Mytilus edulis: one gene and its partners. The main gene of each other region encodes a partner of the protein of the gene in region 2 in a complex. Links are inferred from orthologs where the notes say so. Each region holds a gene or a part of one and is shown on either strand. Other genes may lie near its edges.

The links.
Region 1: nuclear pore complex protein Nup205-like (region 2) and nuclear pore complex protein Nup160-like share a complex: the UniProt entries of both Drosophila melanogaster proteins name them as parts of the nuclear pore complex. The link is inferred for Mytilus edulis from reciprocal best matches to the Drosophila melanogaster genes Nup205 and Nup160.
Region 3: nuclear pore complex protein Nup205-like (region 2) and nuclear pore complex protein Nup85-like share a complex: the UniProt entries of both Drosophila melanogaster proteins name them as parts of the nuclear pore complex. The link is inferred for Mytilus edulis from reciprocal best matches to the Drosophila melanogaster genes Nup205 and Nup75.

The regions. Positions count from the first base shown.
Region 1 is NC_092350.1:78,082,902-78,093,990, reverse strand, and holds the start of nuclear pore complex protein Nup160-like, read left to right. Parts: upstream 1-6,949; 5' UTR 6,950-7,052; coding exon 7,053-7,143; intron 7,144-11,089. UniProt on the Drosophila melanogaster protein: Functions as a component of the nuclear pore complex (NPC). Involved in poly(A)+ RNA transport. Required for nuclear import of Mad. May play a role in double strand break DNA repair. Essential for nephrocyte development.
Region 2 is NC_092353.1:65,265,397-65,275,380, forward strand, and holds the start of nuclear pore complex protein Nup205-like, read left to right. Parts: upstream 1-5,154; 5' UTR 5,155-5,278; coding exon 5,279-5,309; intron 5,310-8,891; coding exon 8,892-9,034; intron 9,035-9,984. UniProt on the Drosophila melanogaster protein: Plays a role in the nuclear pore complex (NPC) assembly and maintenance, but with limited role in NPC permeability. Required for specific nuclear import pathways such as Mad import.
Region 3 is NC_092352.1:40,182,578-40,192,924, reverse strand, and holds the start of nuclear pore complex protein Nup85-like, read left to right. Parts: upstream 1-6,207; 5' UTR 6,208-6,265; coding exon 6,266-6,295; intron 6,296-6,355; exon of another isoform or gene 6,356-6,370; coding exon of another isoform or gene 6,371-6,385; intron 6,386-7,991; coding exon 7,992-8,091; intron 8,092-8,460; coding exon 8,461-8,562; intron 8,563-9,310; coding exon 9,311-9,374; intron 9,375-10,347. Other genes in the region: ketimine reductase mu-crystallin-like, read right to left, coding at 1,485-1,547, 1,980-2,124, 5,861-6,015. UniProt on the Drosophila melanogaster protein: Component of the nuclear pore complex (NPC) that seems to be required for NPC assembly and maintenance. Required for nuclear import of phosphorylated Mad via importin msk.

The DNA of each region.
Region 1 (11,089 bases), on a different chromosome or scaffold from region 2:
TTGTTCATCATATTTGCTAACTTTAAAAAATCTTCTCCTCTGAAACTGCTGAATGGATTTGGATGAAACTTAGCATGATTGTTCCTTAGATTATCCTGCACAAAGTGTGTGCTTCGATTTTTGATCCGTCAAAAAACATGGCCGCCGTTACTTAAAATAGAACATAGGGGTCAAATGCAGTTTTTGGCTTATATCTCAAAAACGAAAGCATTTAGAGCAAATCTGACAGGGGTAAAAATGTTCATTAGGTCAAGATCTATCAGCCCTGAAATTTTCAGATGAATCAAACAAACCATTGTTGGGTTGCTGCCACTTAATTGGTAATTTTAAGGAAATTTTGCAGTTTTTGGTCATTATCTTGAATATTATTATAGATACAGATAAACTGTTATAGCAAAAATGTTAAGCAAAGTAAGATCTACAAATAAGTCAATTTGACCAAAATTGTCAATTGACCTCTTAAGGAGTTATTGCCCTTTAAAGACTTTTTTCACAATTTGTTCATCATGTTGACTTACTTTAAAAATTCTTCTCCTTTGAAACTGCTGTATCAATTTCAGCCAAACTTAGGCTAAATGAGTTTTAGAGTTTCAGAGTATCTAGTATAAATTTTATATTTCATTTCCTTGTATGTCAAGAAACATAGCTCCAATGGCTAAAATAGAACATAGGAGAAAATGAATTTTTTTTTGCTTTTGAAGAAAATAGGACGATTCAAAGAACATTTAAATAAATTGAAAAGCCAAAATAATCATTGATGAGAGATTAAACCAAAAAAATTCAGGTGAGCGATTCAGGCTCTTGAGAGCCTCTTGTTTGTATACAGATTTATAGTTCGTGATATAAAGTATTCGTCCCATGCTCAGATTAACGAAAAGTTGTTTCTATGCGAAGAAACAAGTGTTTGAATTACCCGATGTGCAGCCATTAATATTTTGATCAGTAATGTCACAGAGATTTCAGGTATTTGTCCACCAAACAGCAGCGAAACAACAGTGAAAAATACAATTACCCAACAGACAAACTTACTAGTGTAAAGTTAGCCGTCGATAATAGCCGGTGCTAATATATTCATGGGGTTCAGCAACTTTTGTATAGCTGGTAGCTATAGATAGTTAAAGAAAAATTAGGATCCTATGAATTTTGTGTTCGTAAAAAGGCGAAGACTTATAGAGTTTGTTAAGGATCTGACGAAATAATTTACTAAACTTTCTACAAAATTTATTTTATGATATTGTACCCTCTTTTGTGATTAAAAAGTAATTTAAATCGAGGAAAAGAATGTGTTTATTTCTTTGTCTTAAACAACAAGAAATATTTATCAATCGGGGCCAATTATAGCCGATTATACGGTATGGGTATTTCTCATTGTTGAAAGCATTACAGATGCCTATCACTACTTACATCCACTTCATTTGAGCTTAAATGGACAATCATACCATAAGAGAATCAAATTTGAACTATTCTACATATTACAAAGGAGGAAACATAAAGGCTCGGGATACCTGACGAGGATAAGCCTAGGTCTACATGACCATAACCGAAACACCCCTTTTTTTAGTATACACACAACAATACTACTATACAATCATGCAATTGTGAATTTCTAGAAAAATATGGAAATAAATGCAGAAGAATGTATTCCATAAGCGGAAATATTTATCATACACTGAGTTTACCAGATCTTAGTTACTCTAAATGTATGCACATAGGAAATTGATTTAAAAACGAAGGATTATGATAAGATATACTGGATTGGTCTTGGACCCGATTGATTTTAACTGAGTTTACCAGCTCTTAATTACTCTAAATGTATGCACATAGGAAATTGATTTAAAAACGAAGGATTATGATAAGATATACTGGATTGGTCCTGGACCCGATTGATTTTAACAGTATCCCATAAGAGAAATCAAATTTAAACTATTCTACATATTACAAAGGAGGAAACAAATAGGCTAGGGATACCTAATGAGGATAAGCCTAGGTCAACATGACCATAACCGAAACACCTTTTTTTTAATACAGACACAAAAATTATTATACTACAAACATGCAATTGTGAATTTCTAGAAAAATACGGAAATAAATGCTGAAGGTGTCACACCTGTGAAATTTTTAATATAAGTCGCATAATGCTCAGATAGGCTGTTTTTAACTACAAATTGACTAAGGATTAAGAATAAAGCAAAATAAAAGATTTCTAATCAACTTTTTTGTCTCTTTAGGTGTCACACCACCAATTACTCCCTCAAATTTAGTAGGCCTACTCGAACAAAAAATAGTGCATTTGATGTCATTGTTTACTTAAACTACCCAACAAATTTGCAGAAAGGAAACTTTTGGTGAAAGAGAAATATATCTAGACCATTTTGAGCCAAAATTTACTTGTCTATGAGTTTGCATTAAAAATTGAGGATTAATGCGCTCCATAGTATACTAATTTAAGATTTCAAGAAAACCAGGGGTTATTTTTAGTGGTACATCAGTTCGAAAGGTCTCTTCTTTCTTATATGGCTTTAAAGGTATGTTGAAAATTGGCATGACAAAAGGTGATGCCTGGTTTGTAAGAGGTTAAACTTAAGATAAAAAATTTAGAAAGCTATGAAAATTGCAAAATTTGGTTGAACAGATACTTAGGGACTTTTAATTGGTGGTCTGACACCTTTAAGCAAAATGCGGTGAAACATCAAAATCAGAAAACAATTGGTTTTTTTGTGTGTCTTAACTGATCAATTGAGATAATAGTAGCCACATTTCAATCTTTTTGGGAGCAAAATGTCACATATTGCAAATTTAGAGCCTAAAACTTGAGTTTGTGCTATTTTTAGCTTTTCCCACCACAATATGCTTTTATATAAAAAATGCCCTAAATAATGTTATAAATGCACAGAAAGTTATTTTGTGGTGTTAAACATTGAAACATAGGTTGTTTACTACCCCCAAACAAATTTTGTCATGCAGATTTAATGAAATTATTTGATTTTTACCCCTTATATCATTGCGTCATAATATGTACTTGGCAGATAGCATAGCCTAATGTAAACGCTGCAGAAACTCACAAAAGTACCATTTATTATTCCAAATGAAATTTTTATATCTTAAATTTTATCAACTGATGTAAATAAACACAGTTAAATGACCATGGCTGCACTTTTGATCAATTTGTAGCCCATGCAAATAAATTAGACATAAATAAAATACAGGATATAAACTATAAACAAGAAAAGAGTTCATTCTCAAAAAATATTAAAAAAGAACTAAAAGATAGCTTTGAAAATATTTTCTTTGAAAAATTAAAATTAACTAATGAAACCAGTAAAATATTCGTGTAGTCGTAAAATAAAAAGAAAATATGAAATAGACAAATACAAATACATTTCTAAAAATAGTTTTGAAAATAGAAAATTATTATGTAAAATGCGAGTAAGTGACCATTTCTTGGAAATAGAGAGGGGTAGATATAAAAGAATTCAAAGAGAAAATAGAATATGTAAACATTGTAATATAAATGCGGTTGAAGATGAAACCCACTTTTTCTTAAAATGTATACACGAAGATGCTCAAGTGATAACACCATACTATGCTGAATGAGTATGTGTAAATGCTAACAATGTAAGCATCAATAAAGATATATTCTTGGACTTCTTTATCATGTTCTGTATAACCATTTAGATTCTACCACCTTTATCTACACTCCGTCCGTATTGTGGTATTTGGCTGCATATTCCAATTTTTGTTTGTCATGCAATTTAAATGCGAGTAAGTGACCATTTCTTGGAAATAGAGAGGGGTAGATATAAAAGAATTCAAAGAGAAAATAGAATATGTAAACATTGTAATATAAATTAATAAATTAATAAATCTTTACGTAATCAGCTTGAAAAAGATATAAATAATATATGTCCAGAATTCTTTTAATTGTCTGGAACAGATAGATTACAATTAATTCTATCTTCATTTGATATTATGCAACTTACTGTTCCGTTCATTAAAAAGTCATTTGCACTGAGGGGAGTGGACACGACGCCTGCATAAATATTACTGTTTTACCACTTTATATATGATGTTTAATATGTTCATTTTTCCATTGTGTATATTGTATTGTATTGTTTGTATGTATGCCTTCAATCCCCAGGGGTATAAATGTGCATTTCATGAATAAATAAAATAAAAAAAATACAAAATACAAATATTTTTATTGGCACAAACTCATTAACAATAAATGGTTAAGACCTATGGCATTACATATATATGTCGTGTACAAGTTGCGATTTTGTACAGGTTATAACATGTACAAAAATATTGTACATGTTATAACTTGTATAATGCAAAAATACAAGTTATAACATGTACAAAAGTACCTCGTACATGTTATAACCTGTACAAAATATTGCTTAAAAATGGTTTTAACTTGTACAAAATCGAAAAATAAGGATATATTCTATTATCGCAACAGATGTTATTAACCTCAATAATATTTTCATAACGTTTTTATTATTCCTTCATGTTAGTGTGTTTTGTCCTTTTTTGATACAGTTAATGTCCAGTGGTCGGTATTACGAAGCATTCCTAAGACTTGTCATAAGATATATCTTAGGACATGTCTTATGATCCTCTTATGACTATCTATGGACATATCTTAGGACATGTCTTATGATCCTCTTATGACTATCTATGGACATATCTTAGGACATGTTATAACCTGTACAAAATCGCAACTTGTACACGACATATATACAACTATACTGAATAATTGACATGGTAGAATGAAAGGTTCCATGATAACATATCATGCTAAATTATGAAAAGTTACAAAATGATGTATCATATAAGTTCACTATTTCTTATATTTAGACACTCTGATATGAAAGAGGAAGACAGTCTAAGTAATAATGCTGAGCTATTATTGACCAAAAGAGATATTTTTTCATCAGCGGTAATGTTACGCTGTATTTGAAATATAACATTTATTTTATTTTCAAATATTTCTCGCTTTGAGGTATATCTATTACATTATCATAAGAAATGTTGTTCATCCTCAATTTCCCCATTTTTACAGACAGGACAGTGTCTTTCCTCTCTAGGAACATTTAAAAGATGTCTTCCCCTTTCAATCATTAAAGGATGTGCACTTATGCGTATTTTGCATATTGCTGCTCTATCATTTAAATTGTTTAGTGAATCAACATATGATGGTCTTTGACCCATTTTGTAGACTTGACGAAAGAAACTGAGCTTAGAAGACTCCTGTGTGTTTGCATTTTGATTTTGCAAGCACTGATCATAAATTCTCTGTTTTACTTGTCCCAAGTGCTGCTTTGTTAGACAACTTTTTTTCAACAAGATATGAATATCCTAATTTTTGTAAAATGCACTGAGTTTTTAGGATCCAGGGGTTTGAAAATCTTGTTGCACAGAAAATTTGATTTACAAGTGTATTTTCTGATGAAAGTATATGCTCTAGAAAATTTATGCTTGAAAAAACAATTTTATTTTTGAGTGGAATTCTACCAAGCTCAGCACGACAAGCATCATTTGAAGCCTTGCAATGAACACCAAGTGCTTCTTTAATAAATTTAATGTGTAATTTTTCAAAGGGATCAGAGCCATTAATGATGAGTTAACACCCCAAATTTCAGAACAGTACATCAGTATAGGTGAATACCGTGATATTAATGTATCGAACAATTTTTCAAGTAGTCTACATGGATTATTCAGACCCACAGTTTTCTTAATTTTGAAATAGGCCTTTCTTGCCTTTTCCATAAGAGTATTATTTATGGCTAAATTGAAATTACCATTACATTTTATTACAATACCTCAGGGAGCTACCATTTGATTTTTATGGGGGGGGGGGGGGGGGGCTAGGATCTGAGACTACTATAACAGTTAGTCTCAGCTAGGATGAAATTTGAAAAAAATAGGCAGGACAGGAGTTTTAAGTAAAAAAAAAAGGCAGGATGAGACAATTGCAAAAAAAAAAGTCAGGACAACAATTTAGGTAAAAAAAAGGTCAGGATAAACTAAAAAAAAAAAGGCAGGACCGAACTGAGTGAAAAATAAAAAGGCAGGACAGAGATTACAGCTAAAAAAAATGCAGGACAAAATTTTTCATCCTAGCCCCCCCCCCCCCCCTAAAAATCAAATGGTAGCTCCCTAAATAAGAATAATGACTTTAACAGTTTCAATACAAGAATCATTGTAAGTAAATTCGTCCAAAAATGTTTTACCATTTGAATTAAATACAATGACTTATCTGTAGTTTCTGTAGTTTCTGTAGTTTCCAACAATCACAATAATCATATAAAGCATTAAGACTATTTTGTAGTCCTTTTTTACTTTGAGACAATAAAACAATATCATCTGCATATAAAAGAAGAATATTTAAAGAAACATAAAGGGGGCCCGGGGGGGGGGGGGGGGTGCTGCTGACTAACCTAAGGGGGTCCCGCTCCAGTCATGCTTCAGTGAATCGTCCTATATAATCAGACCCCCGCCTATGGGTGTTAGTCCATTAACAATTTCATAGGTTAGAATTTATGTGTTGTTTATTTGACTTATCAATCAAAATAAAGTTTTCTTAATATCTGATCTTAAAGCTGAGAAATTGAAAATGTTATGTTGAATATTATATAGCTAGTGATTTTGAATCGGTGATCTGACACCTACATAGTAAGTAAGTAAGTAAGTATTTTATATTGGTTTGAAATCCAAAATTATGCCTAAGCCTAACTTCTAATGGCCTAACTCGCGGGAAATTGAGAAAGCGAAATTGAACTCATAAAGACATTCCCGTCCAGCAAACGCAAAGGTCAACGACTGTAGCCAACGTACACACCACGGGGAATACATTTATATTTTTTATTTTTTATATTTTCAAACTAAGTATATATAGACATATAGACTTATCGAAAACCCTATTCTTTACGAAGTGCTCCTGTGAAGGAGGGATTTCCTAATACAGATACAGAATCGCCCTATTGGGGCGAAATGAATCTTAGTGCGAACGACAATCGGGGCGAAGTCACCTGAATACGGATGATAAAAGAATGGCGGAAAGCATGAGTGGATGTACATACCGGGAAATTTCAATTTCATCTAGTGTGGGAACAAGATGGAAAGAAATAAACGTCAACACAGGTATGTAGTTGACGTATTGCAAACGGGATTGTCTTTTACACTAGTTGCCATTTCATGCATTTAGAACGGCTTCTTTTTATATCACCTGGCATAGATCTAACATTTATTTTCGCTTTACTTCTTCTACCGGTTACACTGGGGTAAAGCTGATGACCGTCCTTCTTCTTCTTTATATACAGAAAAACATCAACTGGTTGATGATTACTTTCCGGCGCATGCCTGGTTTAACAATATTGTTAATGATTAAAATATATATTTTTGGTTTCTTATAATTTTTCAATTTTTATGATACAAATGTATATGTAACTGTAAGTAATATTTTTCAATTTTTATTTTTAATTTTTGGTATAAGATAAAAACAAGATACATATTATACATGTAGGTGTTTGTAAGTGTCAAGGAGCATCTCTCTAGTGAGTTTCTCCTTGAAGCACTCAGTAGTGGTGCTGCAGGCTATTGGTTCTGGTAATTTGTTCCAGTCTTTTATAGTTTGGCAGAAAAATGAAAATTTGTAACTGTCTTTGCTGCATCGAATTTGTCGGTATGTTTGTTCGTGGCTAGACCTGGTGTTTGATTGGCTTTTAATTAATATGTCAGTATATGTGGTATGGCAATTTTGTTGTTTGTTATTCTATGGAACATATTTAATCTGCTTTTGAGTCTCCTTTCTTGTAATGTTGGCCAGTGGAGTGTGTTAATCATGTTTGTTACACTTTCAGTATATTTGTAGTTTGAGCATACATATCTCGCTGCACGTCTTTGAACTTTTTCTATGGAGTTAATGTTCTCTGTTGTGTAGGGGTCCCAGACAGTGCAGCAGTATTCAAGTTTTGGTCTAATAAGGGCTTGTATGCTCGGTCTTTGATGGTTACTGAGTTTATTTTAAGTTTCTTCTGGTGAATCCAAGGGTCTTATTTGCTTTAGATGTCATGTTCTGAATGTGTTTGTTCCATTTTAAATTTGATGAAATAGTTATACCTAAATATTTTGCATTTTCAACTGACTCAAGAATGTGACCGTGCATGTTGTAATAAAAATGGATAGGTGTTTTCTTTGTGGTCACTCTAAGTATGTTGCATTTATCAGGATGGAACTGCATTAGCCAGTCTTGTTCCCATTTGATTGCTCCTTCTAGGTCTTCCTGGAGTTTAGGCAATCTGATGGTGATTTTATCTGTCGGTAAATGATGCTATCGTCAGCAAAGAGCCTGATTTGACTATGATGTAAGTAGTCAGGTAAGTCATTGATATATATCAAAAATAGTATTGGACCTAATACAGTGCCCTGAGGAACACCTGATGTAACTGGTATGTTATCAGAGGAATGGTTTTCTAGCATAATTGTTTGTGTACGGTTTGAAAGGAAAGATTTTATCCAGTTTGCGGCTTGATCTGATACACCGAAAAATTTAAGTTTATATAGTAAACGGTTGTGTGGAACTTTGTCAAAGGCTTTTGCGAAATCCATGATGATAAGATCGGTTTGTATATTTTTGTCGTTATTTGAACATAGTTGGTGAATTAGTGATATTATTTGGGATTCGCATGATCTATTTGCCCTGAAGCCGTGTTGCAAGTCATAAAGTATGTTGTTGGATTCAAGGTGTTTCATAATGTTGCTTGCAATTATGTTGCTCTAGTAATTTGCATGAAATACATGTAAGTGAAATTGGACGATAGTTACCAGGATGATGTTTGTCTCCTTTTTTGAAACAGGTGTTACATTTGCGTGGTTCCAATCGTGAGGTACTTTTCCTGTTTGCATTGATTTTGTAAAAATTAGAGTGAGTATGTCTGTGCATGTGTTGATGTTTTCTTTAAGCACTTTTCAGTGATGTTATCAGGTCCTGTTGCCTTTTTTGGGTTTATATTTTTAATTAATTTATAGATGCCTTCTCTGTTGATGTCTATGTCGTCCATTATTGGATGTGTTGATGGACCTTTGTCAGGGATAACTGTATTGGTCTCAGATGTAAAAGCTGATTTAAATTGTTCATTTAATATGTTAGCTTTTTTCAAGGGATCTGTATGAAGTAGACCTTCACTCCTAAGAGGTGCAATACCAGTGTTTTCATTGTTTTGGCCTTTTATGTATGAAAAGAGTTTTTTAGGTTTGTTTGTTAAATCTCGAATTTTCAGGCTCTTGTATTTCAATGTCAAAAATCATGTTTTCGATATAATTCCAATAGGCATTTCTCATCTCTTTCTGTAATTGTGTTTTAATTTGTTTAAATTTTTTAGTATGTTTGCTATCATGTTTTTTCTTTTTATAAAATTTGTTTTTCTTATTTATCAGTTTTTTCAATTTTGAGTCTATCCATGGTAGGTGGGTTTTATTTCCTATTAGCTTAGTTGGTATATGCTTTTGGATACTTTCTGTTGTTTTTGTTTTAAAGAAATTCCACATATTGTCTATATCAAGTTCTAATTTGTGTTTTTCCATATGTGTGTATGTTTCTTTTAAGTCTTTTCCAATTTTTTCCCAGTCTGCTTTCTTGTAAATCAATACTTTGTGTGGTGACTGTTTGGCTTTCGAAAGGGAAAGATTTATTTCACTGAAGATAATGTCATGGTCACCTAGTGGTGGTAATGTTTCTACTCTGTTTAGTAGGGATGGATTTGACATGCACAGTAGATCAAGTGTGCGTTCATTTCTTGTTGGTTTGTCAACTACCTGTGTGAGATTGTGATCTTGTAATATATCTAAAAGGTGTTGATGAAGAGAAGGATCTGGTTTGCTAGGTATTACTGATGAATTTGACCAGTCAATATTGCCTAAATTGAAATCGCCACTGAGCATGATATTTGCACTGGATATGTTGCATATCCTATTTAGTGAGGTACCTAGATGTTCTAGTGATTCCCCTTTGTCTGATGGTGGTCTATAATATGCTCCAAGATAGGTGGTTTTATTTCCCGTTGGAGTTATTTTTGCCCATATTAATTCGCAATCTGTGTCTAATTCAGGCACATGTGATGTAATAAGTGTGTTTGTGATTGCGAGTAGCACACCTCCATAGCCATCTTTCCTGTTTTTGGTGTAGATGGTGTATTTGGATGGAGAAATGTATTCATATGCTGATGTGTCATTTGAAAGCCAGGTTTCAGTACCAAATATAACATCAGGTTTGCATGAGTCTATCATCTCATCAATTTCTGGCTTTTTGTTTTTCATTGATTGAAAATTAATAGTGAGTACACGGAGAGGTGGAACTGCATTCACGGTCATCCCAAGATGTCGGATGAAAAATTAGGTCAGTTTCTGTATTGTCTGTTAAAGTGTTTCTATATCCTTTTCTTTACAAATCATACATTGAAACGATGTAAATTAATAAAAGAATCACTTGAAAATCACTAATTACTTCCCAGAAATGTGCATGAAACGGGAAATTCGATTTGAAAAAATCGTTAAGATGACCGTAAATCATAATCAAAATATTTTCAAGATGACCGTAACATAAAACAAGGATGACCGTGATTGGTAAAAAGATGACCGTAACTTGTAAAGGATGACCGTTATTTGTAAAGACTGACTGTAATTTATATAGGACGACCGTAACTTTTATAGGATGACCATCAATTCTAAGAAATATCCGTATTGTATTCAAAGCTTTTTTGTTGAGTTTGTCGATCTCAATAGGGGCTCGGTTAGCGGATATAAATATGTTTCATAAATTTCTTTTTTTAAACTGTAATATAATTGGCCATATTTAGGATTTATAACAATGATTAAGTAAATTGCATATTTCTCGTAAACAATGAAATATTTATTGATATCGACGTTAAAATTTTAACACAAATTTACAGCGATACGACGAAAATTTGAAGAAACATGAATGTGTCCCTAGTACACGGATGCCTCATCTACACTATCATTTTCTATGTTTAGTGGACTATGAAAATGAGATAAAACTGTAATTTGGCATTAGAATTAAAAAGATCATTCC
Region 2 (9,984 bases):
GTGTAACTCACACGTAAACTAAACACAATTGCGTTCCCATTGATAAAACTCAATGTTTACATGCAGTTTAAATCATGTTTTATCTACATGCAGTCGATAGTCAATGTAGTCCTTGTGTAGGTTAAGTGTACACAAAACTAGGCATTTAGGACATTAGTTTTACCGTGTATATATTTAAGGAGGAATCTATTTTTGAGTAAAATTGATATTTTTGATAATTATAAGTATAGTTCTCTACACCAATTGTTGTCTAAATTTTACAGATTTTTTTTGTTCAAAAAATTTAACGTACTTTATTAACCCCTGATCAAGACTCAAAGCAGCATCATTGCCGAACCCATAAGGCAGCAACCAATTGAATTTCGGGGGGGGGGGGGGGGGGGGCTATTATAGTTGAGTATAAAAAATAAAGGCAAGGGGGTGGAGGTGGTGAGCTATGGATTTTGTTTTGGAAACAAAATATGTTTCCAGTTTTTGGCCCTGAAAAAAATTTGTTTGTTTCACCCTCAGCTGCCACTATATATAATGCTAAAATTGATTTCGACTTGTCACCAAAATTTGTCCTGAAAAAAATCAATAGCCGACGCCCCCTACCCCCCCACCCCTCCCCCCCGCGCTCCCCCTCCCCCTCCCCAAAAAATATAGTAAATAGTTGCTGCCTAATTCATTTGAAAAGGTCTTCCAGAATCATGACTAAAAAAAGTGTGAGGTAAATGATAGGTTTGTCTAGTATCTCAGATCCGTTAAATAACACTTAAAATAAATTAAAAAAAACGTTACCCTATTCCTTTACCAAATACTCATTGGAGAAGAAATACCATTTGAAACAAACAGAAAAGATAACCAGATGCTCCGCAGGGCGTAGCTTTATACGACCGCAGAGGTTGAACCCTGAACGGTTGGGGCAAGTATGGACACAACATTCAAGCTGGATTCAGCTCTAAATTTGGATTGTGATTAAATAGTTGACACAGCATAGGTTTCTGACACAGAATGAATGTGTTCTAATGAACTTAAAATTTTTGTTTTCTCTTAGAGCAATTCACTATGCTGTTGAATATTAATCCTCTCAAAAAAATGTTTGAAGAAATTTTCTTTTTATTTATGAAATTTCAAATGAGAAAAATTGAACCCAATTTTTTTAATCACATCCCCCTTTCCCTTATTCCAAAACTAATCTCAATTAAAATTTCTAATGGAGTTTGCAACAATAACTACTCATTTAAATACATCATAAAATATTAAGATGTAAAAAAAATGCTTGTTATCACTGAATGGTAAAGATTATTTTAATTTATCAGTTGGTAGTAAAAAGTGAACATGCATTGTATATTGTATATAACAAAGATTTAAGTTGATTCTGGACAAAGAAAGATAACTCCAATTAAAAAAAAATCTTGCTATTGCACAATATTTTGCAATTAGATATTTCTTGCTTACTATTCTGGACAAAGAAAGATAACTCTAATTAAAAAAAAATATTGCTATTTCACAATATTGTGCAATTAGATATTTCTTGCCATTGTGCAATACTTTGCAATTGAAAAGACTTGCTATTGCACAATACTTAATATAATAATTTTAGATCCTGATTTGGACCAACTTGAAAAATGGGCCCATAATCAAAAATCTAAGTACATGTTTGGATTCAGCATATCAAAGAACCCCAAGATTTCAATTTTTGTTAAAATCAAACTAAGTTTAATTTTGGACCCTTTGGACTTTAATGTAGACCAATTTGAAAACAGGACCAAAAATGAAGAATCTACATACACAGTTAGATTTGGCATATCAAAGAACCCCATTTATTCAATTTTTGATGAAATCAAACAAAGTTTAATTTTGGACCCTGATTTGGACCAACTTGAAAACTGGGCCAATAATCAAGAATCTAAGTACATTTTTAGATTCAGCATATCAAAGAACCCAACCAATTCATTTTTTGTCAAAATCAAACTAAGTTTAATTTTGAACCCTTTGGACCTTAATGTAGACCAATAAGAAAACGGGACCAAAAGTTAAGAATCTACATACACAGTTAGATTCGGCATATCAAAGAACCCCGATTATTCAATTTTGATGAAATCAAACAAAGTTTAATTTTGGACCCTTTGGGCCCCTTATTCCTAAACTGTTGGGACCAAAACTCCCAAAATCAATACCAACCTTCCTTTTATGGTCATAAACCTTGTGTTTAAATTTCATATTTACTTATACTAACGTTATGGTGCGAAAACCAAGAAAAATGCTTATTTGGGTCCCTTTTTGGCCCCTAATTCCTAAACTGTTGGGACCTTAACTCCCAAAATCAATACCAACCTTCCTTTTGTGGTCATAAACATTGTGTTTAAATTTCATTCATTTCTTTTTACTTAAACTAAAGTTATTGTGCGAAAACCAAGAATAATGCTTATTTGGGCCCTTTTTTGGCCCTTAATTCCTAAACTGTTGAAACCAAAACTCCCAAAATCAATCCCAACCTTTCTTTTGTGGTCATAAACCTTGTGTCAAAATTTCATAGATTTCTATTAACATAAACTAAAGTTATAGTGCGAAAACCAAGAAAATGCTTATTTGGGCCCTTTTTGGCCCCTAATTCCTAAAATGTTGGGACCAAAACTCCCAAAATCAATACCAACCTTCCTTTTGTGGTCATAAACCTTGTGTTAAAATTTCATAGATTTCTATTAACTTTTACTAAAGTTAGAGTGCGAAAACTAAAAGTATTCGGACGCCGCCGACGACGACGACGACGACGCCAACGTGATAGCAATATACGACGAAAAATTTTTCAAATTTTGCGGTCGTATAAAAATGTAGTTATCCCTAATATCTCAATCCTTTTTTTCGGCTGTAAGCACGCTGCTGTAGCTAACGTTTTCTAATGCGTAATTGAGACATCTCTAGTATATTCAAACTACTGCAAATTATAAAAATGGCTTTCATAAAGTAGCAACCACTTAACTTAAAACTAGAGGCTCTAAAGAGCCTGTGTCGCTCACCTTGGTCTATGTGAATATTAAACAATGGACACAGATGGATTCATGACAAAATTGTGTTTTGGTGATGGTGATGTGTTTGTAGATCTTACTTTACTAAACATTCTTGCTGCTTACAATTATCTCTATCTATAATAGTACTTTCTGTGGAAAATGTTATTGAAAATCTTCAAATTTTAAGAAAATTGTTAAAAATTGACTATGAAGGGCAATAACTCCTTAGGGGGTCAATTGACTATTTTGGTCATACTGACTTATTTTTAGTTCTTACTTTGCTGTACATTATTGCTGTTTACAGTTTATCTCTATCTATAATAATATTCAAGATAATAACAAAAAAACAGCAAAATTTCCTCAAAATTACCAATTCAGGGGCAGCAACCTTACAACCGATTATCCGATTCATCTGAAAATTCCAGGGCAGATAGATCGTGACCTGTTCAACAATTTTACTTCCTGTCAGATTTGCTCTTAATGCTTTGGTTTTTGAGTTATAAGCCAAAAACTGCATTTTACACCCATGTTCTATTTTTAGCCATGGCGGCCATCTTGGTTTGTTGGCCGAGTTACCGGACACATTTTTTAAACTAGATACCCCAATGATGATTATGGCTAAGTTTGGTTAAATTTGGCCCAGTAGTTTCAGAGGAGAAGATTTTTCTAAAAGATTACTAAGATATAAATCCTTTTCAAAAGAAAAACTATATAAAAGCTTAGTTTGGACATTTTTATAGCAATTAAAAATAAAAAGGATTTTATATTTTTATGAATCATATATCATTTAAAATAATTCATCATATATTCAGTAAAATATGTGTGAAATAACAATATGCTATTGATAAGTTTCCTTGTCGAGATAACCTAAAATACTATTCTTTTGAATAAAGATTTTTTGAAACCAAAAAAGATTATCTCCCCTTCCTACAAACATATTGCAATTTCACAAATATTTTACTGAATATGAAATGTTTTTATTCACATAATGTGTGATTCTTATGAATATAGAATACTTTTCGAAAGAAAAACTATATAAAAGCTTAGTTTGGACATTTTTATAGCAATTAAAAATAAAACAGTTCACCTTTAGTATGGTAATGGCTATAATATATATATACAGATTGATAGACTGATTTAGTAATACCATCAATAAAGTGGAGTTAAAGTCTTATAGGATTGTAAGTATATTTTATTTTATCACCTTGCACTTTCACATTTTGACTGAACAATTTGTTCAATACTCTGACCAGTTGAACAATTTGATTTTATAAAACAAATTGCAATTTGGTCAAAATTTTTAATGAGTTGCAATTGGTAGATAGCAACACTAACAGTCAAGTCACTGTAAAATGTGTGAACAAGATAAGTTTAGTTTCATTTTGAAAAGTAATGATACGGACATTAGTACTGTAAGTGTAGCTGGAATAAGCGATATGTATGATTTGAACATTCATTTAAAGCAAACATAATGTTGTTAAGAGCTTTTATAGTATTAAAGCTGATTGTAATAGCTTGAATTAATAATATTGTATGAATAACACCTCCACGCAATGTAAATATAAAATATGTATCTCTTATCATGATCATTGAGAAAATATGTATGTTTTTTTGTTTGTTTGTTTATTTTTGTATTTGTAAATGTCGGCTGGTATTATTTCTGTCTAGGAATTTACACCAATATTTGATTTTATTTTATTTACATGAGAGACATGGGCAGTTGTCCAGTCATCTGCCAGACTGGAACAATACCAGTTATAGGCTGACTTCTCAGCAAAGCGGATGATGGAATGTTATCTGGTTCTGCTGATTTGTTCGGATTTAAGTTATGCAAAAGTTTTTGTATAACTTGATTTTTATGAATAATTTTTATAAGGACAAGGATAGTAAACTATACAAATCCTTGACATAAAGGATGTATATACAGCCATCGCAAACGAGAGATACGGTAAAGACGGTAAACAATCTTTCATCATTATTTTCTTTGGCCCATTTACTTTATCGCAATAATTATTATTTTCTTTGGCCTATTTTCTTTCTCACAATAATCATAATATGATAATGCATGTTTTTAGAGACATATACATATATAAAAATGTCTCTGCTTTTTTAAAATAAAATACACGATTAAGAACCATTTCTATCAAAGGGTCGAGTTGTATAGGTCGATATTGTAAAGTGCCGATAGAACGTGAATTCATCTGGGTTCCTTATACAAAATACTCACTACCGTCTGTTTGAAGTGAAGCATCGGGATTTTATCAGGATACCAGTTTACAGCCACTATGGCATCTGGGGGCATGGCGGTAAATTCAGGTGAATTTTACTATTTAATTACGGGAAAAGGTTAAGATCTTCTTTGGCTCATATTGTTATTGGCTAGAGCGCTGCTTTTAGATCCCGTGTTTGAGGGTTGGATTCCCACTGGCACCATCCATAGATTTACACAACACCTGTCAAAGTGTCATGCAATATATTTTAAGTTCCTCCTCATTCAGTCCCAGAAAGAAGAAATATTATGGATAATTTATAATAATCCACTGGAACAAATATTACAGTATAAAATTGTTCCTTTAATACGGAATAAAGTTTATGGATATGGCATTATTTACAACAAAGTTTCCAGAACATATATTTTATGTTAACAAATCGAAATTATATGATTTTGTCTGACATGTTTCCTATAAAAATAACAAAAGCTAAAATGTGAAAAATTATTTATGAAATTTCGTATTATAACATTCAAACAATTTCTCATTTGTCCTATATGAAAGAAATCACAAGTACATAATCAGGGGTTAAAAAATCCGCTAGCCCGACACCCGGGACTAGAGCATTTACGCATCAGGCAATCAAAATGTGTAACCCAATATGCCCGACGGACTAGTATCACAAATTTTTTGACGTTTCCAAAATAAAAAGGAAGAAAGTTGAAAATCCTTTCATCACTATTCTATCTTAGCCAATCAGATTCAATTACAAATGTACGTCATCCGAATTCCAAGAATTTGAACTGGTTTGTACACTCGTGGTTTTGTACATATTTCTTTTAAATAGAACAAATAACTCTGGGTGGTCCGGTATCATGTATAAATATTGATTTCTCATACCCTGCCTGTGGTATTGTATATTTATTTGATTGCTTAATGCTAATGGTGAGATTTTTCAATTAACCGTATTGGGGGTATGGAGAATTGATCATTTTGGCACGGACGGCTGTTGAGCTTGAAACCATGCAACAAAATATATCTAAATATTTTAGTACAGGCACCCAAGGAACTTCGTCAATTTCAAAACGAAAAACTGTAGATGAAGAGGGTAATTCGAGGCTGAAAATTCATCCCCCAAATATGCCAAATACGACCGAGAAAAGCAGGGGGAAAAAAATACAGATTGATTCCCCTGGGCAAGGTCGGCTGTTGCTGATGAAAAAACCCCAGAGACGATGCTCTGTGAAAATTGTCGTTATTTCCCCAAGCACGCCAATAAAAAGCCTGCTTTGTATGTGGGAACAACTAAGTTAGGTTAGGCCATAAAAAAGAATAGATTTGTTTGCCCAAACCCTACCTACCCAGAAAAAAGCTGCCTACTCAAATTCTTTTATTGTCCTGATTTGAAGAAGTTTTTTTTTAATCAGATAGGCATGAAGACTAATAAATATCCGATACGTAAATTTCTTTAAAAAAAAAAAAAAAAAAAGAAAATGCCTACCTACCTACCCACTGTCTCAACCTTGGGTAGGGTTTGGGCAAACCAAAATATTTTTAATTGTGGCCTTAAGCACCAACAGAATAAATAGCAGATCAACAAAGAATATTAAATACAGTGTATAATATCGCCTTCAAAACAGTGACACCCACTGTGTTGTATTATGAAGCAAAATCTAATTTTTAAGGCATACTCGGACTAGCCAGTCAGTTTTGATGAACAAGCAGTTCTTCCAACAGGGCTAGTAAAATACGGCTGCCTATAAGTTCTGGGCTAGTTAGCTGTAACAAAATTTTTTAACCCCTGCATAACAAGAACTATTTAGTATAAATAATCTAGTCTTCACCTTGTATTACTGTACACCTAATCGCTATTTGTCTGCCATTACTGACATAAAACAGATTCCTGTAACATTTTGACATCATAATACAAAATATCTGACGCCACAATGGAAAAGTGATTGTTGTATGACGTCTATAGTACAAGTGGGACAGATTCTCAGGTCAGCCGGGGATAGTGATAAGGTGTAATTACATGTACATGTATAAGTGCATAATTTCATTCTTAAGGCAGTGTCTGAGAAACCCTCCAAGCATTGACGAGTTGCCAAATTGGCCTGTGTAGGCTAAACACATCCACATTAAGTTTTATTATAGTAAAATGTCATTGCATCAGGGTTAAAGTGTGAAATATACACAGAAATTATCAGTGATTTTCCGGTTTTGTGAATGCAGTGAAGAGAAGGGCAACTTATAATTTATTAGTTCAATCTAAATTTAAAACAAATATTGCAAATGTTGTATATCTGTATGTTGAATCCGTACTTTCTGGAACTGTTGTATTGTCTTAACCATGATTGTTGTGATGATTACATGTATCAGCCTCTTTTGGCATCTGAATCCAAAGTAAAAGGAACGTAAATTGAAAGCTCTTCCTTTTTACTAAAGGAATAAAACTATACTGTCTGTGTTAAAGAAAACATGATAAAGTTAAAATAAAATGTAAATGCACATTTAAAGAATAAATTTATACTGAATTTGCCTTTAAAAAAATGCTATGTGAGACAATTATTCTAGTAAAATAGGAAACAGAAATCTAAACTATAAAATATCTTCTTTTCTCTAAAGTCACAATATACCAGTTGCGAGGTCATGGAGGTACAGTGGTTAGTTGAATCTAGGTGACTATGTCTGAATATTGATCACAAGCTGAGACCTATTATAATAAAGAATTAAAATTCCATAACAACTGTCTTTGTTATTTAATTACTTTTCAGCTACATGTAAGACAATTGTCAATTCTGATTTAAAATAAGATTAAAACTAGATTTAATCTATGTAGAATTCTCTACTAATACACATGCTTTGTTTACTACTTTATGCACATGCATGAAATTTCAGATTGGACACTTAAATCATAAATTCAAAATGATTTCATGCTAAATAAAACAAAGTGCAACTATTATCATTAATATTCATACTATCAAAGGTAAACAATTAAAAAGCTGATGATTTCCTGTACATTTAATAAACAAAACTAATCCCAGAAATGAGTCAAGAATTACTTGCTTTATTATTGTTGCAAAACTTCCAGTTCAAAAGCAGAAAAAACGTTAGCAATGTCTGAGAAATTTATCATGTTGAGTCTTTCAAATCATTTCATTTTCAAATTGTTGCCTTCCTGCTCTTGAACGACGAAAATTCATGAAGTAAATGCAGTTAAAACTAGTTTGTTGATGCTATGAGCTTGATGAGTATAAAAATACTCAGTAATGTGATTTTGACAAATTTTTTTTTGAAAAAGGGCACCAACTTCAAAATGACCGAAATTACATGTAGGTGAAAAAATGTCAGAATCCTTTGGTATTATAAAAGCCCAAAATGCCACTGTAAACAATGTCAATATGCAAGATTTGTGACTTTTGATTAGGGCAAGTGAGTTAAGTCATTGAGGTTGGATGGGACTAATAAGATGTTTCTTGCCACTTGTCTGAATGGACACTTGTGTTGGAATGGACAAGTTAGAAAAAATGATACTGTAAAGCCAGTGAAAACATTTTTTTTATGGACTTGATAAAATATAAATATAATTTAGAAAAACACATTTCACATTTATATAGGCTCCTTTCCTTTGATAAACAGTTCTCTTTATCTTATTGATTATAAATTTAAAAGCAATATATTCTTGCAGAGGCCCAGCTATGGGGACCATATAAAGAACTGGAGAGAACAGTTGATGCAGCAGTTCGAAGGAAGCAGGTGGATGCAGTGCACGACCTTGAAGTTGCATTGAAGAGACATAAACCTGATTTTATTTCTCTCCTTAAAAATCCAGTATGTACATGTATATTATTAAGAAGATGTGGTTTGAGTTCCAAAGAGACAACTCTCCATCCAAGTCACAATGTATTAAAAAATTAACAATTTATAGTTCAAAGTACAGTATAAACCTCCACAAGGAGCCTTGGCTCACACTAACAGCAATCGGTAAAGGGCACCAAAATGACCAGTGAAAAACAATTCAAACAGGAAAAACTAACACATCAACAGTCTAATTTTAGTATATAAAAAATGAGAAATGAGAAACGCCTATGAACATGAACACAACAACAAACAACAACCACTGAACAACAAGCGTGTGACTATGAACAGTGCATAGAAATGCAGCAGGTTAATTGTATACATTGTAGAGCACAAATATCAATTTAGGAATTAACAACTGAGAAAGTTAAGTGTTGGTCCAATGTCAATTCAAATTTTCAACCATTGTAAGTTTGACATCACATTGGCACAATATAAAAATCAGGAGATGTGGTATGATGCCAATGAGACAACTATCCACAAGAGACCAAATGACACAGACATTAAAAACAATAGGTTACTGTTCCTTGAGAGGGATTCACAACACTGCATTACATGTATTGATATGATTGTCTATTTAGATTTATATCATACATTTTGTACATATAAACAGAAGACGTGTATGATTGCCAATGAGACAACTCTCCACAAGATACCAAATGACACAGATATTAACAACAATAGGTTTCTGTTCCTTGAGAGGGATTTACAACACTGCATTACATGTATTGATATGATTGTCTTTTTAGATTTATATCATACATATAAAAAGAAGATGTGGTATATTTGCCAATGAGACAACTCTCCACAAGAGACTAAATGACACAGAAATTGATCATATTCAATGATCAATGATTACACAACATCAATTTAGTCCCTTTTATGAAGGGGACATTGGAACTCTGTTCTTTTATAGTAAATTT
Region 3 (10,347 bases), on a different chromosome or scaffold from region 2:
GTGGGGCATGTATATTTTATAGTTGCTGTAAAGTGTAAGGGTTGGATTTTTTTGATGTATTCTCCCTATTACTAGTAATTGTCTATCATATAATGATAGTATGGATTCAAAGCTATGTACTGATGATATATTTGATGTAGGACTTGTCAGTTAAAAATAGACATGTAAAATTCTCGTTTGTTGTAAGTTAAAAGAGCATAACCTCACAGATTTCTTTTTGTAAACAAGATATACGCCAGGCTATTCGATGAAATTTAAAATACGACCGACAAGAGTTAATAAAGACAAACAAGCAATTTTTATCCAAATGTTTGGTTGATATGTTTCACCAAACAAAAATAAAGGAAGTGAGGGGTTCCTAACCAACCAAAGGCTACGAATGAGTCTTATGACAACGAATTTATGAGTGACGGTCGACAAAAGAAGACATAAAGGCCACACCCAGCAGACAGGTTGCAGTCTTGGCTTGAAAAAAGTATTCAATATATCAGTTCGGCGAAACAGACATTCCAGTCAGACATGCAAACCTCGGCCCCAAAAAAAATATGCCCGGTTTTTATTCATTATCTTCATTTAATGCAAAATAATTCTGATGGAAATTTCGTTTTTAATACCAAAAAAGTGGACAAGATTATTGTTTTCAATCCAGATACGGCCAGAATTTTTGTTCAAGGCAAAAATCAGAGTCAGATTTTTTTCTCTCAAATATCTCAGACTGCCTCCTCAAATCAAATGGTTCATACTTCAGACTAGGGTGAAACATGTTTTCGTAGGTAAACAATATTGCTGTGGAACTTTTTTTCTTGAGAGGGTAATAGAGTATTACTTTCTGTTTGGTGTAATAGTGAAATAGAAGTCAATACGTTCTTTCTCAATCTTGTGTCACTTTGAAGGTTTCATGATTGTCATCCTCAGCTTAAGCAATTTGTAACTGTAATTTGATTTCAAAATGACAGAGTGACAGTTTTTTAACGCACTGGTCAACTCCATAGCGAATCACATTTTACTTTGACATAATCAGTTAATACCAGCAAAAAATATTTTATACGTAAAGAATTGTCGCATAAAAATTAAATACCGTCGAGGGCTACCGCGGTAGGTACGTGACCGGCCAGTACACAGGAAAAAAAAGTCCAAGCAAAGGGGGGGGGGGGGGCGTATGCCCTCTACACCCCCCTCTGGATCCGCCACTGCTATATCTAAGAAATATACTTAAATAAGAGCCCAATGAACCATGAAAATGAGGTCAAAGTCAGATACCAGACAGACATGCACACCTTGCGCAACTTTCTATACCCCAAAATAAGTCTACCAAATTCTTATTAAATATACAAGAAACAGAGATTTTGCTGTATCAAATGTATCATAATATTTTTCAGAATACATTTTTGTTACTCATACATTTATCTTATACTTAGAATACTAAAAGTTATTATTTAAAATAAAAAATAATTTTTACACAGAACAATTATATGTTAGTTTACCTTGGTAGCGACTGCAGATACAGCTGCTGTTCTCATAGCAGTAATAACTTCACCATCAACTATCTGTATTTAAACAACATTGAGGATCAGACATATGGTACCACAATGATGTTTTTTTGGAAAATGTTTACAACTAAACTTAATTTTGCACTATGAATTAACCATGGTGCATCATCTCCTAACTTACTTATAATGTATTTTAATGACACTATGGTACTTTACTCAACTGACCTCAATACAATAATGACATCTCTTCTTTTGTGTAATGCCTTTTTTAGTTGAGGTAAAATCTGTGATTTACAAATTGAATAGGAGAATTATCATTTTCATAAATTAATCAAAACCAGCACGAGAATGTACCATTTCCTTTGCTCCCCAGTAAAAGCTGAATTGATAAAAGATTTCTTGCATATTTTTTTACCAGCTTCTGATAGTAGTACATTACTATCATTAAAAAAGTTACATAAATGAATTTATTTTGTTTTTAATACCTACAACTTCAGGTACTCCATTTGACGCATTAAACATGGCAATAACTGCATTGTGAGTGGGGACATCCTTGTTGTTTGGATAAAATGATACCAGTTTAGTAGCAAGAACATTGTCTTCAGAGCATAAAGATGGCATCAAACCAAAAAATCTGTGAAAAAAAAAATTTAAGTTATAAACATTTGATATATAAGAAACAAGAGTATGTTGTAGAGCATAATGAATAGGACACAATGTCATGCTCATAAATGATATTGTATCATTTCCATGTTCAGTGAACCATGAAATATGGGTCAAAATCCTAATCTGGCATATATTTTGTAAAGTCCACATCATAATGAAATGTATACATATACACATTCATGGATCTACAATCTGTCGATAACTGTATCTCGGCATTGCACAAGGTCATGTTTTTCTCTGACTGTTTATGACATCTTTACACTAAATCCATTGGATGTTGGATGTGACAGATTGGTAATTTAGTCTAAGATGCATGATTTTTTTATTAGTTGTTAGTGGCTTTGAACTAGCTGTCAGATAAATGCAAGTACTCTCAGATCTGTTCCTAGTATCTTTATGTTGTTGGGATATACATGTACCCGTCCACGTCCACTTGTATTTGTATTTTTGTCCATCTGATGAGTTAAGCCTTTTTTAACTGATTTTTATAGTTCGTTCTTATGTTGCACTGTTATACCACTGTTCCAGGTTAGGGGGAGGGTTGGGATCCCGCTAACATGTTTAACCCCGCCACATTATGCCTGTCTCAAGTCACGAGCCTGTAATTCAGTGGTTGTCGTTTGTTTATGTGTAACATATTTGTTTTTCGTTCATTTTTTTTATATAAATAAGGCCGTTAGTTTTCTCGTTTGAATTGTTTTACATTCTCATTTCAGGGCCTTTTATAGCTGACTATGCAGTATGGACTTTGCTCATTGTTGAAGGCTGTACAGTGACCTATAGTTTTTAATTTCTGTGTCATTTTGGTCTCTTGTGGACAGTTGTCTCATTGGCAATCATACCACATCTTCTTTTTTATATGGTATACTAAGTTTCAAATTTATCTGACTACATCTTCATGGTACTTAAAATCAAAACTATAACCTTGTATGGGATTATAATAATTCTTGCAATACAGCATCATTTTTTTCCAACCACTTGCTCAACATGGGAATGGAAGTGATGATGCCCTTAAACCCATAAATGATGTTCACTAAAACCCAAGTTTTTGACAAAAATGCATCAAACTCCAAAGTTGTCCATTATCAGATATGGTGGTACCATAGATTTTTTGAAAAATTAATTAAATGCATACCTGTAAGACTCTTGACCTTTTACCTAAAGATCAGTGGGTTCTTTTTATTCACCTGAAAAGGCAAAAATCTGATTTTGGTTTATAAGATTTTGTCCTGAAACCAAATTTCCCCAAAATGCATTCTTTTTTCATTAGACCTTACCCATGAGTCTCAACAATGAAATTAACCACCATCAAAATATCTGGACAATTTCACTTTGAAAGGCAACACATGGAAAAGACCCTAATTTTTTTTTTGTCAGTATCAAAAAGCCCCTTTTCTTTTTTGTCAGTATCTAAAAGACCCTTCTGGGGTTTTTTTTTTGTCAGTACAACATGTACATGTATCTCAATGAGATACTGACAAAAAAAACCAAAAGGGTCTTTTCTTTCCAAGGGAAATTGTCCAGATAATCTGATGATGGTTAATTATACTGTTGAGTATAATTCTATCAATTGCTGCTGTTTCCTTGAACTTTGACATAATGACTTAAAAATCAAAATGCAGTGGTTCATCTCATCATTTCAAATTTGGTAAAAGTTGGACACACAGTTCTGATATTGTCAATTTTGAAAACAAATTTTTATCAAAATATCAGTGTACCAATAGCAGTTGAAGCAGTTGTGCAGTCAGGGGTTCTACTTGTACAAGTAATTTTTCAAAATTTTGCTTTGAACTAGCTGTCAGTTAACTGTGAGTACTCTCAGATATGTACCTACTGTCTATGTTGTTTGGATGTACAAGTACCTGGCCACGTCCACTTGTATTTAGTAAAAAATCTGAATTTCAAATGACATAACTAAGCCAAAAAGTTATTTACCTATACAAGTAAATAAAATACACTTGTATAAGTATCCTACAAATTTACTTATAAACAAATAAATTAATATCACTGTGTCAAGTAAATAAAAATTACTTTTACCCCTGACTGAAGGGGAAGGACCTTTACCAGGACTCCGTGATCTGGTGTTTTTAAGATCAGGATTTCGGGATTGATACTTTCGGGATTCAAGAATTCTTTTTTCGAATTTTGGGATGTCAGGATTTAAATTTCTTTAAACTTGGGACCTCAGGATTTCATGTTTTTAAATTTGGGATTAAGGGATCAGGACCCCTCCGACCCCCCCTCCTGACTATTGTGACTTTGATTCTAAAGTCAAACGGAATCTTTTTCATCCCATTAGGAAACCAAATCTTTGAACATTTGAACTCAATTTTTTTCTTGGTAGGAAGAAACTTGGTTTTTTTATTTTTTTTATATCTATAAATGTATTATATAGGATGGTGACTGCATTTAAGGTTCATCATAACCTTTTGGCTAAAATGGCCGTATTTACACCCCAAATTTTACTCTGAGTACAGACTAACCTATACACCTGCAACAGTTTTAAGGGATGGCAGATATATAGATATATAAATTTTAAATGCATTTTATGTTTCAGAAAATTATAAACTTTTCTAGATTTTGCTATCCATTTTTTTTCGTTCCTGCAGAAGGTGCAAAAATTAACTAAGTAGTGAAAACGATTGAGAAGCTCCCCTCATATAATCAATGTTGTGAGTAGTATTGATTTAAATGGACAATAGATGGACAATAGACACCTGTAAACAATAGGTTATTTAACAGGTTTAATTGTGTAACTGAGTGGACCGTATCAAAAGAAACTCAGGTGTTTGTTTATTTTGCTATCTTCTGCAGACTGGAAAAAAATGAACATCAAAATCCAGGTAAATTTTTAATTTTCTGAAACGTAGACTTCATATAACTTTTATATATCTAGTTCCTGCCATGCCTTAAAACTTTCCTGGATGTACCAGTTTGTCTGTACTCATAGTAATTTTGGAGGTGTAAACACAGCCATATTTTTCAATTCCTTATGATGAACCTTAAATGATTTACCTCATCTGACCACTATATACTATACAAGCCCCTATGATTGATTGATTGTTGGTTGCTTAACGTCCAGTGGCAAATATTTCATGCATATTCAGGACGAGAACAAGTTCACAATAAATACAATAGGTAGGTTGTTGTAAGAGAGGCCATCTAGGATGATGGTCGGGGAAATTTGGACTGCCACTGGAAAATTAGGGTATATTGGATAGGGACAGAAATTTTGCTTTGCAACAGGCCACCTACGGACCCCTCAAAGAGTTGTTGCAAGGGTTCTTAACGTGCAAAGAGCGTGGCACTCTCTTTACAGGAGGCATCGGATATAACGTCCCCTTCTGACGGACGTGACTGCGAACTTGATACATCCCGCACAGCCAAACGGAGGCTCCACTTCAGCAACCGTTTTACTGCCGGTCGGGAGAAGACCAAGTGACCATATTTCTATACCCCAGTCACCCTTGGGGTTACAAGCCCCTATGAAGTGAGTGCATGTGTGTATGTTTTTTATGGATTGTAATTCATTTTTTCTTTGGGAATGGTTAATTTTCTGGTAGTAAGTCATGTGACAGCCAGGCTTAAAAATTCTATTGATATGTGCTAATACAGTGTGACAAATGTTCTTCTTTCCATCATAACTCATGATGGTGCTCCTCAGGGAGGAGGGTTGTAAATAAGTATATAGTGTGCATACATACCCACCAGATTCCTTGACAGGAATAACAGATCTTACAGGTTGAACAACTTTTTTGTCTGAAAATTTGGCAAGAGCTTTTTCCATTTGTGGAATAAGCAATTCAAATGTAAGAACATTTTTCACTTGGGAAGCAGATATAAATTTCATAAGTTCCATTCTGAATTTTGACCTCAAGTTCTAGTATGGGTACTTGACTCCGATCTCAATAGTTTGGTGTTTTGTAAAATAACTAAAAACTGGTTGTTTTTTTTTTAGATATGTACAACAAAAAACCAGTTTCTAAATCATAATTTTATTAAATATTGCATACAAAAGTTTTTTTTTTAATGTAAAGTTAAAAGGAAACATAGCATCAGATCCAGAATATTTATTTTAGAATGCCCCTTATTAAAGGGAAATAACCAAAATGGCCGAGCGGGAAAAAGTCTATTGCCAGGTTTTCATTTTAATAATTTAATCACTTCAATTCAATTGTTACATCAAACAGAATTTTCAACAAGTTTCGGCTTCAATGTTTCTTTCAAATGTTGTTATTTGTTCATTTAATCACGTCTTTTTCTGAACCTTTTACCACTTTTCATAAAAAGATTTTGACCCTCTCAAGAAATCTTAAAACAAATATTTTTCTATTTACGTACTCTTTGGATCAGCTTCCATCTTGCTGAAATATATAGAATATGAAGTTTATACAAACAACTGATACATATGAATAAATCTTTTTTCCTAAACAGTCGAATAAAAACACAGTTTGCGTCATAAAAACATTATAATTTACATGTTTGCAAAGTCAGTTATTTTTTTTCCTAGTATGGGAAAGACTGGTGTCATAATTGGTAATATTTGGGAGTTGAAAGATCATGTATTTTTGTCAGGGATCTCCATAGATGAAAATTAAACGATGGAGGAACTACTGTGTCTATGTTGTACAGTGAAGGGCGATCGAAACTATTTAATCCCTCCACCTAAGGATTGGTGAACAGGCTAATTCATTGCTTATTTAATTATATTTATTTGAATTTTCATTATAAATAGAAGTATAAATACTTTTAATAATTGCCGTTTTTAACCATTCAAAAGCCAAGCCTTCATGGTCTGTAACTGGATTATTAATTGATTTATTTAATCTAAATTATCATAAGCATTTGCGGAAACTTAGTTGAATAATTCGACAAATGAATCGTCTATCTTCAGATAGTATTCTCCTGTCTGGTTTGTTGATCTACCTGTACAAGTGATTAGCGATCTTATCCGGATATCCCTCAGGCGTCAGAACTGTATTGAATTATAATATAAGCCTGAGGTTTATGCAATTACATGCATTTGATTATAATTGCTAAAAACAATGCTGTCGGGCTATAAAAACGATAACAGTTTTGAACGATAGCAAAAGACAATTTAACGATGGCGCAGGTCATTTGACGATGGCGCGAGACATTTGAACGATGGCGGGGCGCCATCGTTAAACAGGCCATGGAGATCCCTGTTGTCCTGAAAGGCAATTTTATTTTTTTGTATGTTGCCTTGCCACCTCGAATAATTCTGTAATGTATGCTCCTGTTCCAAGTCAGGAATCTGTATTCAGTGAGAGTGGTGACTGGACAGTCTGCGCCAAAAACTTTTACATCTTCTAGTCCTGAATCTAAATATCAAAACTTGTCCTTTTATGACGATATAAAATATTGAAAATTTTCACTAGTCCGATACAGGAAGTGTATTCACTATTGACATTTGTTTTGAATTTTAGGATTAATTTATTATTATTGAACAAAAAGTCATTTGAACACAGTGTGCTGTGAAACACAAGGACACAAGACTTTCTTATTACATTTGGATTAGATAAACACATACATGTAGTACAACATGTACAATGTAAAAAAGAAAAACAGAAGAAATCAATCTTGAAATCAATTATTATATAGTTGTTCCATAGGAAGCAAATGTATGAGAGACATGAAAAACATATAATTAGATTTTTTTACTACAAAATGAATTCCCTATTATCCTTATTTCACATTGGCCTTTTACATCTTTGCTAAACATTATTGATTTTGTTCTGTGTTGAAGACCTTGGCTTGTATAATATATATGCATTAATTTTGTTGTTAATGATTATACTTTTTGTTCATTTTCAGACAATATATGACCCAGCATGTACTGCAGGGCTACAGTCTACATGGGGATTTGGGAACCAGCTTTTTGTATTTCCTGGAAGAAAACCCACCTTGTATCCAGGTATTTGTTACATGTACTTGTATTATAGATTAAATATCACATTAATTAATCTTCATATGTTTTCTTTGCTTTAACCTTTTTCTTTGATTTTTTTCTCTTAGACAGTTTTTTTTCTGGTCAACAGATCGATAGGAGTTTTTCATGAGACCATATATGGACATAATAATTTGTATGAAATTTGTTCACAATGTGTATCTTAACCTTTTATAAATTGTGACTTGGATGGAATGTTGTCTCATTTTAACACTCTTACCACATCTTCCTATAATATCTATTATGTATTTTTGTCATAATGTGTAAATGTATTCTTGTCATTATGTGTATTGTATATTCTTGTCACTGAAATGTTTGTATTATTTTCTGTTGTAGAAAATCAGTTACACTGTAGAAGATTACAAGAGATCAGGGAAGTGAGATGGGATATAGATTTATATCATCCAGTCATGAGAAAGCTTGTAAATGAATCTCATAGTAAGTAGATCTATCTTAATCAAGAGAAAGTTTTGAATCTCATATAGTGAGTTGTTGGAATACAAATCAACACAAATCATGAAACAGTTTTTCATTGACTAACATAGTGAGTTATTGGATCTTATATTCTTAATGGCATCCATTTAAAAAAACTGTCAATCCCTGAACAAAATTGTCTGTTTAATATGCATAAGTCTAGAAAAAAAGATATAAAAGCATAAATTATTCATTTTGTATTGAACAGATATAATGAAGAAAAAAAAATTGAAACTTTTGACGGCTGCCTACTAAGTCAAATCTAAGTCATGATTACAAGCTTAAGCATATACCTGAAAACGAAAAATAATGATTATGCATAGTTTTTCCATTGACAAGATTTAAGTTATTTCCCTTTTAAGCCATACTAGTGGGGCAATGTGTAAAAATTCTTGTAAATCAACCAAATTCAATTTGTAATACAGACTGTTGTGTCCAGAATCAATTTCATTTATTTATTTATTGTACCCTGCTAAATTCATAACCACAATCTAGTATTAAAGTATCTTTCTGTAAGTCTGAATAAACAGTGAATAAGTTATTTACCAATAATTTTTTTTAAAGATGTCCAAAGCTCCAATTTCATACTACATTGGAACACATTTTGATACAAAAAGTATGTAAAACGAGAAATTTCTGACAAAATTAAAAAAAAACCAACATATTTGATAGCTGACTGTATACACTTAAATGTGTTATTTTTCTATTTTAGATATTTTTGTCATGCTACAGAAACATGCAGCAGAAAAGGCTGTTGGAGGAAGTATACATCCATTGTAAGTGTCTGAACATTTAAGGAGGTTTCGAGGGTACAAACAAATTCAGCAAAAATTGAAACATTTTTTTCATTACAAATTTATTTATTACACTATTAGTTGTTACTTTATGCAAGGATTTGTATAGTAAGAAGGATTGGAATCTCGCGGTTTATCGTAATCTCTTCCGCGGCGAGACTTCGGTACTCGCCACTATTACTACTACTACTACTCGTCACTTACGATATCAGAACGTGATTTTTTGTACACATGCATCGAGTTGTGTTCTTATTTTTGTCATGTATAGACAATGTTGTAATGGTTAAGGACTTTATTCATTCTTAAACGTAATAATTATTGATTTTCACTCAAGTTTCAATTGACGAAAAAGCATAATTTAACTGTTTTATTTGATGGACATTGTAATGCAATGTGAATAACGGCAGTTGACAATGTGTTTGTATGTTAACTTCTGTATTTTTTTTTATCTTCAGTCAATTGTCAAAGAAATTTAAAAAAATCTTATTCTTGTAAATTATGTCATTATAGTTATATGCGAATTTGCATCTTCGGAAACTCTTTCAAAAACTTTCAATCTCGGGAAACAGGTGCAAAACATTTTTTTGTGGCAAAAAAGAACTGACAACACATTTCAGAACGAATTACTGCATTGCGTTTTATATACATAGTGGCTAGTCATTATCATAAGTTTGGAACACGTACTGTTACAGAGGGAGCCCACTGGACTAAACCCTATAAAACTGACTCTGCATGTTACTGTAGCAGGTTTCAATCATCATAAACATATATAGGCATAAAAGAAACGTTAGCCAGTGTGTTATAAATTATCAATGCAAGCAAAAAAATTTAATTGTACTGATAACATGACATCTTTAAATGTACTTTTGTTTCTTATCAGAGCACTTTCATCAATTTGTGCATGAATTTGATAGGGCAATTTTATAGTGTCAGCTCTCTGTCATACATGTCATAC